Linked DNA regions of Danio rerio. The protein of the gene in region 2 interacts with the protein of the main gene of each other region in a biochemical or structural test. Links are inferred from orthologs where the notes say so. Each region holds a gene or a part of one and is shown on either strand. Other genes may lie near its edges. The genes, in order: pdgfrb, Na(+)/H(+) exchange regulatory cofactor NHE-RF2 and abcc4.

Region 1 (3,736 bases), on a different chromosome or scaffold from region 2:
TCCATCCATCCATCCATCCATCCATCCATCCATTCATCAATCCACCCATCTATATATCATCCATTAATACATCCATCCATGCATGTAACAATCCATCCATCCATCCATCCATCCATCCATCCATCTATCTACCTGTCTGTCTGTCTGTCTGTCTATCCTCCATCCATCCATCCATCATCCATCCATCCATCCATCCATCCATTCATATATCATTCTTTAATACATCCATCAATCCATCCATCCATCAATCTATATATCATTCATTTATACATCCATCCATGAATCCATCTACACATAATTTATTAATCCATCCATCCATGCATCTATCCATCCATCCATCCATCCATCCATCCATCCATCCATCCATCCATTCAATACTATATCCATCCATTCATCCATTCATCAATCCACCCATCTATATATCATCCATTAATACATCCATCCATGCATGTAACAATCCATCCATCCATCCATCTATCCATGTATACATCCATCCATCAATCCATCTACATATCATTCATTAATCTATTCATCCATCCATCCATCGACCCATCCATCCATCCATCCATCCATCACTATACTAACTTGTCCATTTGACTAAATATTATCCATCTATATACAATATTATCCATTAATAAATCCATTCATCCATATATCCATACACCCATCAATCCAACCATCCATCTACAAATGATCTATTAATAAATTGATCCATTCATCTATGTATCTATTCATTCATTCATCTATTTCTCCATCAATCCATTTATCCATCCATCTATATATCATAATTAATACATCCATCCATCTATATATCATTCATTAATACATCAGTCTATATATCATCAATTTATTCAGCCCTCCATCTATTCATTCATCCTTCCATCCATCCATCAGCAAAGAAACCAATTTAAACCCTAAAAAATTCACTGATACTAATTTGATGATAATGATGATGATGTTTATGAAGATGATGATGATGATGATGAAGTGTCATCACCTGGTCATGCTGTCGCAGCTGAACCACTGAATGCTGGGTTTGGGCACTCCTTCTGCCACACAGGTCACTGCGTGCTTCTTCTCCGGCAGGTGATGATCTGACAGCTCCGTTATCTGAGGAGGAACTGCAGAAGCAGACAAAAGATCTTCACATGAAAACCTCACTCAATAAACCAGACGGGTGAACAACAATTAATTCTTTAAAAATATAAATAAATATGTCATTTTTAAATACAAATAAGAAATATCACAGTCATAATTTAATAGTTAATTAAAAATACTATTGATACCAAACAAATATATGTTGATCAATTTATTCTAAAATGTTTTTAAATATATACATATTTATAACATGCATAATTTATTATAACCAAATTAAATGTTAAATAATAAGGTAATTTAAAAAATGTCATATTATTGCAGAAATTAATTAAATAAAAATCCAACTTAGTTTTCTTTTTTGTTCAGTAAATAAAAATAAAAAATATATATTTTTTATAATAAAATAAAACAATAAAATAAAATAAAATAAAATTAAATTAAAAGCTTTCTTTTGAGGGGTGGCTTGTGATGTAGGGAGATTTATTCATATTTATTCATATTTATTTTTATTTTATTTTTTATTTTTATATTATTATTTTTATTATTTATTCATATAATTTTTATTTAACTTATTTGACGAAAAGATAAAAAATATAATAATAAAAAATATAAAATATAATAAAATTAAATTAAAGTCTTTTGAGTGATGGCTTGTGATGTAGATAGGTTTATCCATATTTTATTTTTATTTTTATTATTATTTATTATTATTATTTTTATTATATTATTATTTTATTATTTATTCATATCATTTTTTTACTTATTTGCCAAAAAAAAATAAAATAAATAAATTGAATTAAATTAAATTAAAGTCTTTTAAAGGGTGGCTTGTGATGTAGGCGGTTTATTTATACTTATTTTTATTATTAATATTATTATTGTTATTATTATATTAATTTATTATTTATTTCTATAATTTTTATTTAACTTATTTGACAAAAAATTAAATAAAATAACTTTCACAGTAGTTTCAGTGGCTAATAATAAAAGTTAACTGGTTCCGCAGTATTCCTGGCAGCTGGTATTATTCTTGCTGCTTCCCATCTTAAACCAACATGGGTGTCTATTTTCAGGAAATGGGGTGGTGTGTAAATGGATGTTGAACCGTCTCACCTTTCACCTCTAGGTCAAAGATCATCTCTTTGAGGGCGTCTTCATTTTGGACGGTGACTTTGTAGAGACCCATCTGCTGCAGTCGAGTTCTGACCAGGGTCAATGTGCTGACAAACCTGCAACGCATCCAGTGCTGCATCAGTGTCTGTTTATATATATATCTCTGTTAAATCTCTGCTGATCTTCAAGCAGAGAGTAAATCTGCATTTGCTTTCAGCCTCTGAAGAAGAGTGTGAGTATTTGAGGGTCATGAATACCTCGTTTCGTGCTCCTCCCTCATGCTGTGTCCTCTGATAACAGCACCGTCTTTCCTCCACTGGACTGTAGGTTTGGGATACGCCTCGATCTCCACCTTCAGCTCCACGTTTTCTCCGAGCTGCGCAGAGATGTTTCTGTCCAGAGGAGGAGTCAGAGACACAAAACCCTTCTCTGCAGACAGACAAAAAAAAAAAAAGATCACGTGTGGAATAATCAGTATTTGCTTCATTAACAAAATCTATATGAAATGTATAGATTAATAACAAACAAAACAGCAAGACACGACAAAAGTAAATTAAACTACATTTTCTGATTACTGCCAATTGCCTAGTGGTAAGTGTGTCGACATGTATTGTCATTGTGTTTTGCGCATCTTGATTTCGAATACTGGCTTGTGGACATTTCCCAACTCCATAATTCAAGATTATTTGTATAGCGTAGCGCTTTTATTTATTTATAGGGCATTAATACCATCAACCATTCCCATTTTATTAAGGTGCATCCATATAAATGGCCCACCCTGTACTATGACAATGATCGCCTCAGGTACTTATTATGAGCTTTATTCAGTATAAATGTAACCAGTAACCGAGTTTTAATACATTTTTGGCCTGACATTTATAACCATACTGAAAGCAGCAGCAGATAATTTACCTCAGAAAATGAAATACAAGTACAGTTTGAACATGAACGTTAGAGCTGTGAATATCACTACAGTTTCCATTTCCGCAGCAAAACAAGAGCATAAAATACTATGACAATGATCGCCTCAGGTACTGATTATGGGCATTATTCAGTATAAATGTCACCAGTATGAGTTTGAATACTATTTTTCCTGACATTTATAACCATACTGAAATTAACAGCAGATAATTTACCTCAGAAAATGAAATACACGTACAGTTTGAACATGAACGCTAGACCTGTGACTCTCAGAACAGTTTTTATGACCACAGCAAAACAACAGCATAAATTAATATGACAATGATCGCCTCAGGTACCGATTATGGGCATTATTCAGTATAAATGTAACCAGTATGAGTTTAATTACTATATTTTTTCTGACATTTATAACCATACTGAAATTAACAGCAGATAATTTACCTCAGAAAATGAAATACACGTACAGTTTGAACATGAATGTTAGAACTGTGACTATCAGTACAGTTTCGATTTCCGCAGCAAAACAAGAGCATAAAATACTATGACAATGATCACCTCAGGTACTGATTATGGGCTTTATTCAGTATAAATGTAACCAGTACGA
Region 2 (4,161 bases):
TCTATAACCCAGTTAAAACATAAAAAAAAAACATAAAAACAAATGTTATTGTAAGAAAGATAATTAAACCATGTGTTTATAAATATAGATTCAGTAAACATAATTAATAAACAAGAGTTATTAAAGGGCACCTATGATGAAAATCATCTTTTGGACAGAACTGTGTGTAGGTATAGTGTGTTCACAGTCATATTGGGGTGATATAAAGACAATAAGCCTCTATTTTTTTAATTTCCTGACGTTAAAATAGGATCCAAATCCCCTCCATTTTGAGGCCGACCACAACGTGACATAGGAGTGAGGTTTCCCCGTCCACAGAATTGACTGACAGCCGTGAATTAACATCCATAGTAATGCGTTTAATCATATCAACAAGACAGGACGTGCGCAAAGCAACTGGGATTAAAAGATCTGTTCAGCTCTCTGTGATCATCAGTCATCATCAAATATGATAAAGAATAAGTTTTACAAGTTTAAAACGTTTTTAAAACAGTGCATGTTTGTAATAAAGTAGGTTAAAGATGGTAAAATCGCATTAATTCATCACCGCAGCCGCATATCAGTACAATTGTAAAAGAAGGCGCTTCAATCCCGGTTTGTGGACGTTAAATAAGCTTTATTTTGTACATTAACATAACGGATATCAGCTATACAGCAGTGGATATTAGCATGTACCCTGTCACATTTGCGTGCAAAAACAGAGCAAAGTTAAACGCGTGAGCTGTGTGTGTGTGTGTCTGTGTGTGAACTTTGTAAGGACACTGTGTGTGACTCGTTGTTGCAGAAAGGCTTGAATTAACTCCACAACAAATACATCCAATAATCATTGGGAAAGTTCTTACTGTAGTGTTTCTCACAAACCTTACGTGAGGTCTGCTTCCTTCATATCTGTAACTGTGCTGTTTATCTGACAAAGCCAGAGATGAGGACACTGACAATTTGCCATCGTAATGGCATCATCGGGGGGGTAGGGTTGTCCGGTTATATATGTTTGTGAAAAGCGGGGGGTTGGGGTTTGGGGACAGAGACGGAGTTTGACAGAGTGTGCGCGATGTGTGTGAAGAGCGAGGAGGGATCCGAGAGTCTCAAAGCAGTTGTGGGAGACTCCCGGAACTTCCGGGAGACTTGGGATGTCTAAATATCACGTTTAACAACTACAGTGAGACGCAATCCAGCGGTACATCCTTCATAAACTGTCTGACATGCTCTGCTCACTGAAGCTCAAACGAGCGCATGATAGTGTGTGTGTGTGTGTGGCTGTCTGTGTGTGTTTTCAGCGGACGGAGGGCTGTTCAGAAATGCTGGGTAAAACACGGTGTGGATGTGGATCATTTTCGTTCTAAAATGCCATTTTAACACTAAGACGTATTAATGTAAACAGGGCCTAAGTGTGTGTTTATCGCGAGCGGATTTGCGACGAGGGCAATCGTGTTGTCTATTGGCCATCAGCGATGGACAACGGCATCATCTATCGGCCCAACCCTACTACATAGTGTTCAGAGCGGACAGTCCCAATAGTCTGAAAGGTCTCATAAATAATCAGAAGTGTTTTGAGCTGAAACGTTACAGACAGACTCTGGAGACACAAAAGACTTCTCTTAAATCTTGAAAAAGGGGTAAAATAGGTGCCTTTTAAATAAACTTTTGTTAAAACTTTTATTGAGATGGAAGGATTGAAGGATGTTGGTCTGATTGGGCAGGTTTACATGAATACAGGAAAATTAAGACCTGTTTAACATGATTTAGGACTTACAATACAATGTTTCAGTGAATTTAGGGCCTAAAAGTTTGGATTTTGAGACATTTTAAGACCCCCACGGACACCCTGTAGAATGGAACAAAACTATTTACCGACATATGTACACATTTATTTAACAACATACTCAGTTTACATGTCAATTTGCACATAATATAGCTTTACACACATTATTGCCTAATGTAATATGCATTTGTTTTCTCTATTTACTTATTTAATTCCTTTATTATCAGTGTTTTTGTCCTGTCACTGCCATTTTGATACACTCTTCTGTCACAAAAGCAAACTCCTTGTATGTAAAATCTTACCTGGCAGTGGCAATAAAGCTCTTTCTGCTTCCATATGGAGATACATCCTAATCTAATTATCTTCAAGCACTTGTTTTAACACACATGTTGTTGTTATAAGCAATAAAATGCATAATAATACGATCCTGCATTAGGATCCAGTATAATGTGTGCTGAATATTTGAGACCAGCAGCTCAGGTGTGTGTGTGTGTGTGTGTGTTGATGTACCTGATGGTGTGTCTCTCTCTCCACGTTCTCGCCGTTCACCTCCACCACACGGTCACCCGCGCGCAGTCCCGACGCCTCCGCCGGGGACGCGCGTTCCACTTTCCGTATGTACTGTCCGGTTTTTCCTTTCTCTCCGTGCAGATGAAACCCATAGCCGTTCTCTCCTTTCTTCATTACGCACAAGCGAGGCTTCAAATCGCTTGCCATTGTATTCCGCCGTTGCCTTCACATTCACAAACTTGCAACACAATCCATGCGCGATTTCCCAAGCAAAGAAAAATAAATAAATAAAGCGGAAACTTACGTAAAATGCATTCGCAAAGGTTTATAAACGCGCATCGCTGCCGTATGCCGATGTGTTTACAATAACGCGCATGCAACAATTAAAACAGATATGAAGGCAGAAGACTCTCGTGTCCAAAAGCGCTCGCGAGGAATTACATGCAAAAGTGATAGCGCTAAAAGCAGACTGTGCAACTACCTGTGGATGTTCACAGACGCATCCAAAACTCCTCCATGAGACATTCTGCCCACAGAGAGAGAGAGAGAGAGAGAGAGAGAGAGAGAGAGAGAGAAATGCTGTCCACTGAGAAACTGCGTGGCGTGAAAAAAGACCGCCCATAAATAAGCGACAATACAGATGAGCAGAGAAAGAGGCTTATTTGACCCTCATTAATGTATGTAAACAATGTCAAATAGCAGTTATTGATTAAGGAATCATGTATGTTTATTTTTTTACATAATTTTTATGAACAACTGGTAAAAACTAAATGGGAAAAAATATATATGCACATACATGCAGTACCCATGCATATAAACAGAATTATTAGCCCTATCCCCCAATCTTTGCCATGATGACAGTAAAAAATATTTGACTGGATATTTTTCAAGACACTTCTATACAGCTTAGTGACATTTAAAGGCTTAACTAATTAAGTTGGGGTAATTAGGCAAGTCATTGTATAACAGTGGTTTGTTCTGTAGACTATCGAGAAAAAATATAGCTTAAAGGGGCTAATAATTTTGACCTTCAAATGGTTTTAAAAAAATTAAAAACTGCTTTTATTCTGGCCGACATAAAACAAACAAGACTTTCTCCAGAAGAAAAAATATTATCTGACATACTGTGAAAATTTCCTCGCTCTCTTAAACATCATTTGGGAAATATTTTAAAAAGACAACAAAAAAAAAAGAAAAATTCAAAGGGGGGCTAATAATTCTGACTTCAACTGTAAATATTTATGTAAATGTAGATATTACACACACACACACACGTATATATATATATATATATATATATATATATATATATATATATATATATATATATATATATATATATATATATATATAATAACTTAACCAGTTGTGTTAAATATTTGGTCCTTTGTTTGGTCATGTTTAACCTTTATTTGGTTATTTATTTTATTTGGATATATATTTTTATTTGGTTATCTACATTAATAACTCAACCAGTTGGGTTAAAATTTTTAATTTCAACAGTCAACTGATTTAACTGACACAGAACAGCTGTATTCTTTTAATAGTTTTGTATTTTTCTATTTTAATATTTTTGAAAACTGTAGGTTATTTACACAGCCATAATTATAAAAGTATAGTAGTAGTAATAGTAGCAATAGTAATACCAGAATGGAAAAGATAACATTTAGTTGGGTGTATATATTCAGTTGAAGTCAGAATTATAAACCCCCTTTGATTTTTAAATATTTGCCAGATGATGTTTAACAGAGCAAGGAAATTTCCACAGCATGTCTGCTAATATTTTTTCTTCTGGAGAAAGTCTTAATTGTTTGATTTAAGCTAGAGAAAAAAAGCAGTTTTTAATTTGAATTTTTTAAACAGTTTTAAGGTCAAAATTTAATGGAGAA
Region 3 (4,523 bases), on a different chromosome or scaffold from region 2:
CTCTATGTCTCCCATTTAGTTTTTTACGCGCATCACCAGAACCACGTGATTGAAAACAACCTATACTGTATAGTCCAGGGTTACTGCGGATTTCATGGACTCAAATTTAAGACTTTTTAAGACCCTTTTAAGATCATAAAGAATTAAATTTTAGACTTATACAGGGTTAAAAAAATTCTAATGGCCCAGTATTATCATGAGGATTCCTGTAATTGTTTTTAGTTTTTTCCTCTGATTAGAGAATTTAATTTGGGGAATTTGCTGTAAACATGTCTAACAGCTGTTATGAACTCACTTTGCAATTAAAAACTTAAAAATAAATAAAGGTTTTGAGATGTGTTGTTGGTTATTAGATGGATATTGGCCCAAATTGCGTAGCTTTACTTAGGGAAAAAATAAGACCTGTTAAAAACAGTTTAAGACTTACAACACAATATGTCAGTAAATTTAGGACTTTTTAAGGCCTTAATTTTAGGTTCTGAAATGGAGGTCATTTTAAGACCCTGCGGAAAACACAATAGTCTTTCTTTTATAAACAATTTCAAATTAATCGTTATTAATTTCTTAAAAGTTACAAATGATACTTTTTTTAGGCCTGAATGCTTTTAAAAGCCTCACAGTCACAAGCATCAAAGAACACTTGCGAAATAATAAATAATAATCAAGAGTCAACAACTGAGTGTTCCTAAAAGTCAAACAAAACCTAAAAACCACTGATATTGCAGCCAAATGAATGGATTTCAATGTCCATGTGGAACAAACTGTCCATGAAGATACTCTTTTTTTTTTCATATCTACGAATTTAAAGTAATGCACAAGTGCAAAAGCTTTTATAATTAAGGTATGCTGTGGATAGTTTTATTTTAAAATCCAGAAAAATATATTATTTGAACTAGGGCTGCACAATATATCATTTCAGCATCAATATCAATGTGATCATTCGCAATAGTCACATCGCTAGTATATGCAACGTTGAGTCTGGATTATAATTTCGCAAGTGTTTTTTTCAATCTAAAATGATAAATTTATCTCATCTAAGTGAAATTGTATTCATATCGCAGAATAAAAAAAATTGCAATGTTAGATTTTTACCAATATCATGCAGCCCCTAATTTGGACATCTTTCAGTCATTAATTCAAAGTGTTAAGCATAGATCTCAAACTCAATTCCTCGAGGGCTGCAGCTCTGCATAGTTTTGCTCCAACCGTAATCAAACACAGCTGATCCAACTAATCAAGGTGTTCAAGACTACTAGGCTGCGTCCGAAACCGCCTACTACTCAGTAGGTACTGCATTTGAATGGAAACGTACTACTCGGCCGTTAGAAAAGTACGTTCTATACAGTATGAATGTGAAAAGTATGAATGGAATTCGGACATACTACATCCGCCATTTTGTCATGGTCACGCGACCTACCTGCGTCATTTGCGTCGCTTCACTCCCATTCATGAATTCGCTCGCGGGGCATCATGGGATAGCGCAGCGTGCATGGGATGCGCACTTCAGAATCTCGCGGGAAGTAGTAAGTCATCCGGGTACTTCTCGCATACTGATTTTCGAATTCTATGAATTCGGACATACTACTCGGCTCACATACTGATTTTAGCGTACTATACATGTACATATGGAAGTATGCGGTTTCGGACGCAGCACTAGAGATTACGCAGGTGTGAGTTGGAGGTGGTTGGAGCAAAGCTGTGCAGAGCTGCGGCCCTCCAGGAATTGAGTTTGAGACTTATGGTTTAGAGCAGGGGTCACCAACTCTGGAGAGCTACCTTCCTGCAAAATTCAGCCAAAAGCACCTCAACCAATTAATAGGACCTGAAGCAGCACTTAATAATTACAGACAGGTGTGTTTGTTCAGGGTTGCAACTGAAATCTCCAGAAAGGTAGCTCTTCAGGAACAGGATTGCTGAGCCCTGGTTTAGAGTCGTGTTTTGTCCTGTCACTTGCAGGCAGTCACTGCATTTTCAAAGCTAATATCTTGTAATAAAGAGGTTTTTAGTGCAGTTGTATATTATTTTAATATTACAATTTCTACAGAATGTTGTGACAATCTGCTTTTTATTTACATGATTATAATTAAATTATGATATATTTTAAATTATGTTCACATAGAAAACGGTACGTTTGATGTGGAAAAAAATCATAATAAAACCCAAAACTTTCATTCATTCATTTTCTGTTCAGCTTAGTCCCTTTATTAATCAGGGATGGTCACAGAGGAATGAACCGCCAACTTATCCAGCATATGTCACAACCCAGCACTAGGAAATGTTTAAAAACTTAAAAAGTACAAAAGAAATGTTCTTTGCCTTCAAATGAACATACATAAGCAAGAAAAAGTAGCATTTTCACTGTTATATATATATATATATATATATATATATATATATATATATATATATATATATATATATATATATATATATATATAAATGTTGTAGAAGCTCTTGGGAAAGTTTAGGACCAACTTTCCCAGTTTAACAAAGCCATAGATTAGACACGACTGACAGAAAAAACACTTCACATCATCTAATTATGGTTGTCTTTAGTTTCAGAAGATGTACATTATTATAAACAAGAGCAAACATTCTTTCTTTCTTTGTTTTTACTTCAGTGGAAACACAAAATACTCTTCCCCCCTGCCTTAGGGGCATTATAAAACTTGACTTACCAGAAAAATATCTGCGAGAAGAGATTAGCCGAGGCTGAGGGGTTGCTTTTGGCATCTTTCTTTATCGGCTCCATATCGCTTGTCATCCTCCCCGCGGTTCAGCCGGACTCTGGTACCCCTCGCATAACCTGTAACCAGCGCAAGACATTTACCTTGTAAACTGTTGTATAACTTTCTAACACGCACATGTCGGTAACTACAGGCTGAGGTAAAACCGTTCATTTCCTACTGTGAGCGTGAGACCAAACCCCGCCCCATCCGAGCAGCGATTGGCTCATTGTCACTCCTGTCAAACCTGATTGGGCGCTAATAAGCAAGACGTACACACATTTATATATACACCTAAGGTCATGTTAACAGATGTGATAAGATTATGAATATGTTATTAATATTAATTAGAGCATAGCTACGTTGCTTAGAAACCCTCCTTGACTGTGGCGTCAAGAGCAATGACTGGTCAAGAGACTTAAGTAATATTGAGTAGCTCGACGTCACCCGCCTGATTATTTATAATCTTCTTGATATCAGCCAATCGGTATGGTGTACGTCACGTCATTTGATTAATATTCATGAGAAGCAGCTTCGCTATAGTAGGTTTTACTTACTGGATGCAGCAATTAGGATGGAACTACAGCATATTTACGGAAAACAGGTGGAGTTGCTGGTAAAAATGATTGTTTATTGTTGTTTTATACACACATTGTTGTTGTTTTTTGACACAAGAGAGCAGGGGAGACGTACATATGAAGCTTTGATTGTGTAATTGTACTTCTGGGTGAGGAGGCTTTTTGTCTACCATCTGTTCTTTATTAGCTCTGCACACACACACACACACACACACACACACACACACACACGCACGCACACACACACACACACACACACACACACACACACACACACACAGACACACACACACCACTCATGTAGTGTGCTGGAAGCAATCATCTTTAATTAAAGTGTCCAAACAGAGGAAAGCAAAGAGCAACACAAAGCACATATTTCTTTTTTAATATATGGAATGCTTTAAAATGAAAACCATTTACCATCGTTAAAACCCAGATGACTATGAAACACAAGTGGATGTATTTTTAATGTTAGACTGCTTGTTTTTTTTGTCCATGCATCTAGATGAAATTGTGAATTATTAATCACATTCAAAAACAGTTTTATATTATGTTAGCTTTAAATATACAGTGTGTGCTGTATTTATTATGTACAACACTCACACACATGCATTACGAAAGACACAAAATTAAAATATGAATATATAAGTATTAATTATATATATATTTAAAAGTATATATAAGTATTAATTATATATATATTTAAAGACTGAAACTTGTAATTTTGGCTATTCAAATGTAAAATTATTGTAAACGCAAAATAAAAACTATTTAAATTCAAGATATAATTGTTTATTAGAATTTTTGTTTGACTTTTAACACAGATTTCTTCATGTAAACAACATACCCACAATAAACCATCAAGATCCTGGCTTGACAGCTATATTTATTACAGAAATTAAAACACAGGCATGTTAATGACATTTTAAAACAATCATTGCCAATAAAAAAAAAAATATTTCCAAGTTGGATTCTAAGTGGACTGCAAAAAAAAAAATGCCAAAATACAGGCATTGCAGATATGGAAAATGATAATAATAAAGTATTGAATACAAACAGTTGCACTTACTGTAAAGTTGTATTGCTGTGAGTTGAGAACATTAATTATAATGTAGAAACAATTTACATTCAGCTAGTTGCTAAAACAGTCCAGTCTGTTGACATTATCGGGGGACAATGTGGACCTTTTCTTTTGAATGTTGTGAGCTGAGAGTGCAAC

Evidence for each region.
Region 1: the proteins of Na(+)/H(+) exchange regulatory cofactor NHE-RF2 (region 2) and pdgfrb form a complex in vitro, tested with the Homo sapiens proteins (2 studies listed by BioGRID and IntAct, with this or other methods). The link is inferred for Danio rerio from reciprocal best matches to the Homo sapiens genes NHERF2 and PDGFRB.
Region 3: the proteins of Na(+)/H(+) exchange regulatory cofactor NHE-RF2 (region 2) and abcc4 form a complex in vitro, tested with the Homo sapiens proteins (2 studies listed by BioGRID and IntAct, with this or other methods). The link is inferred for Danio rerio from reciprocal best matches to the Homo sapiens genes NHERF2 and ABCC4.

Annotation. Positions count from the first base shown.
Region 1 is NC_133189.1:3,712,385-3,716,120, forward strand, and holds part of pdgfrb (platelet-derived growth factor receptor beta), read right to left. Parts: intron 2,641-3,736; coding exon 2,469-2,640; intron 2,328-2,468; coding exon 2,212-2,327; intron 1,122-2,211; coding exon 998-1,121; intron 1-997. UniProt on the Homo sapiens protein: Tyrosine-protein kinase that acts as a cell-surface receptor for homodimeric PDGFB and PDGFD and for heterodimers formed by PDGFA and PDGFB, and plays an essential role in the regulation of embryonic development, cell proliferation, survival, differentiation, chemotaxis and migration.
Region 2 is NC_133178.1:11,799,055-11,803,215, reverse strand, and holds the start of Na(+)/H(+) exchange regulatory cofactor NHE-RF2, read right to left. Parts: upstream 2,801-4,161; 5' UTR 2,480-2,800; coding exon 2,273-2,479; intron 1-2,272.
Region 3 is NC_133181.1:8,255,258-8,259,780, reverse strand, and holds the start of abcc4 (ATP-binding cassette sub-family C member 4), read right to left. Parts: upstream 3,008-4,523; 5' UTR 2,765-3,007; coding exon 2,679-2,764; intron 1-2,678. UniProt on the Homo sapiens protein: ATP-dependent transporter of the ATP-binding cassette (ABC) family that actively extrudes physiological compounds and xenobiotics from cells.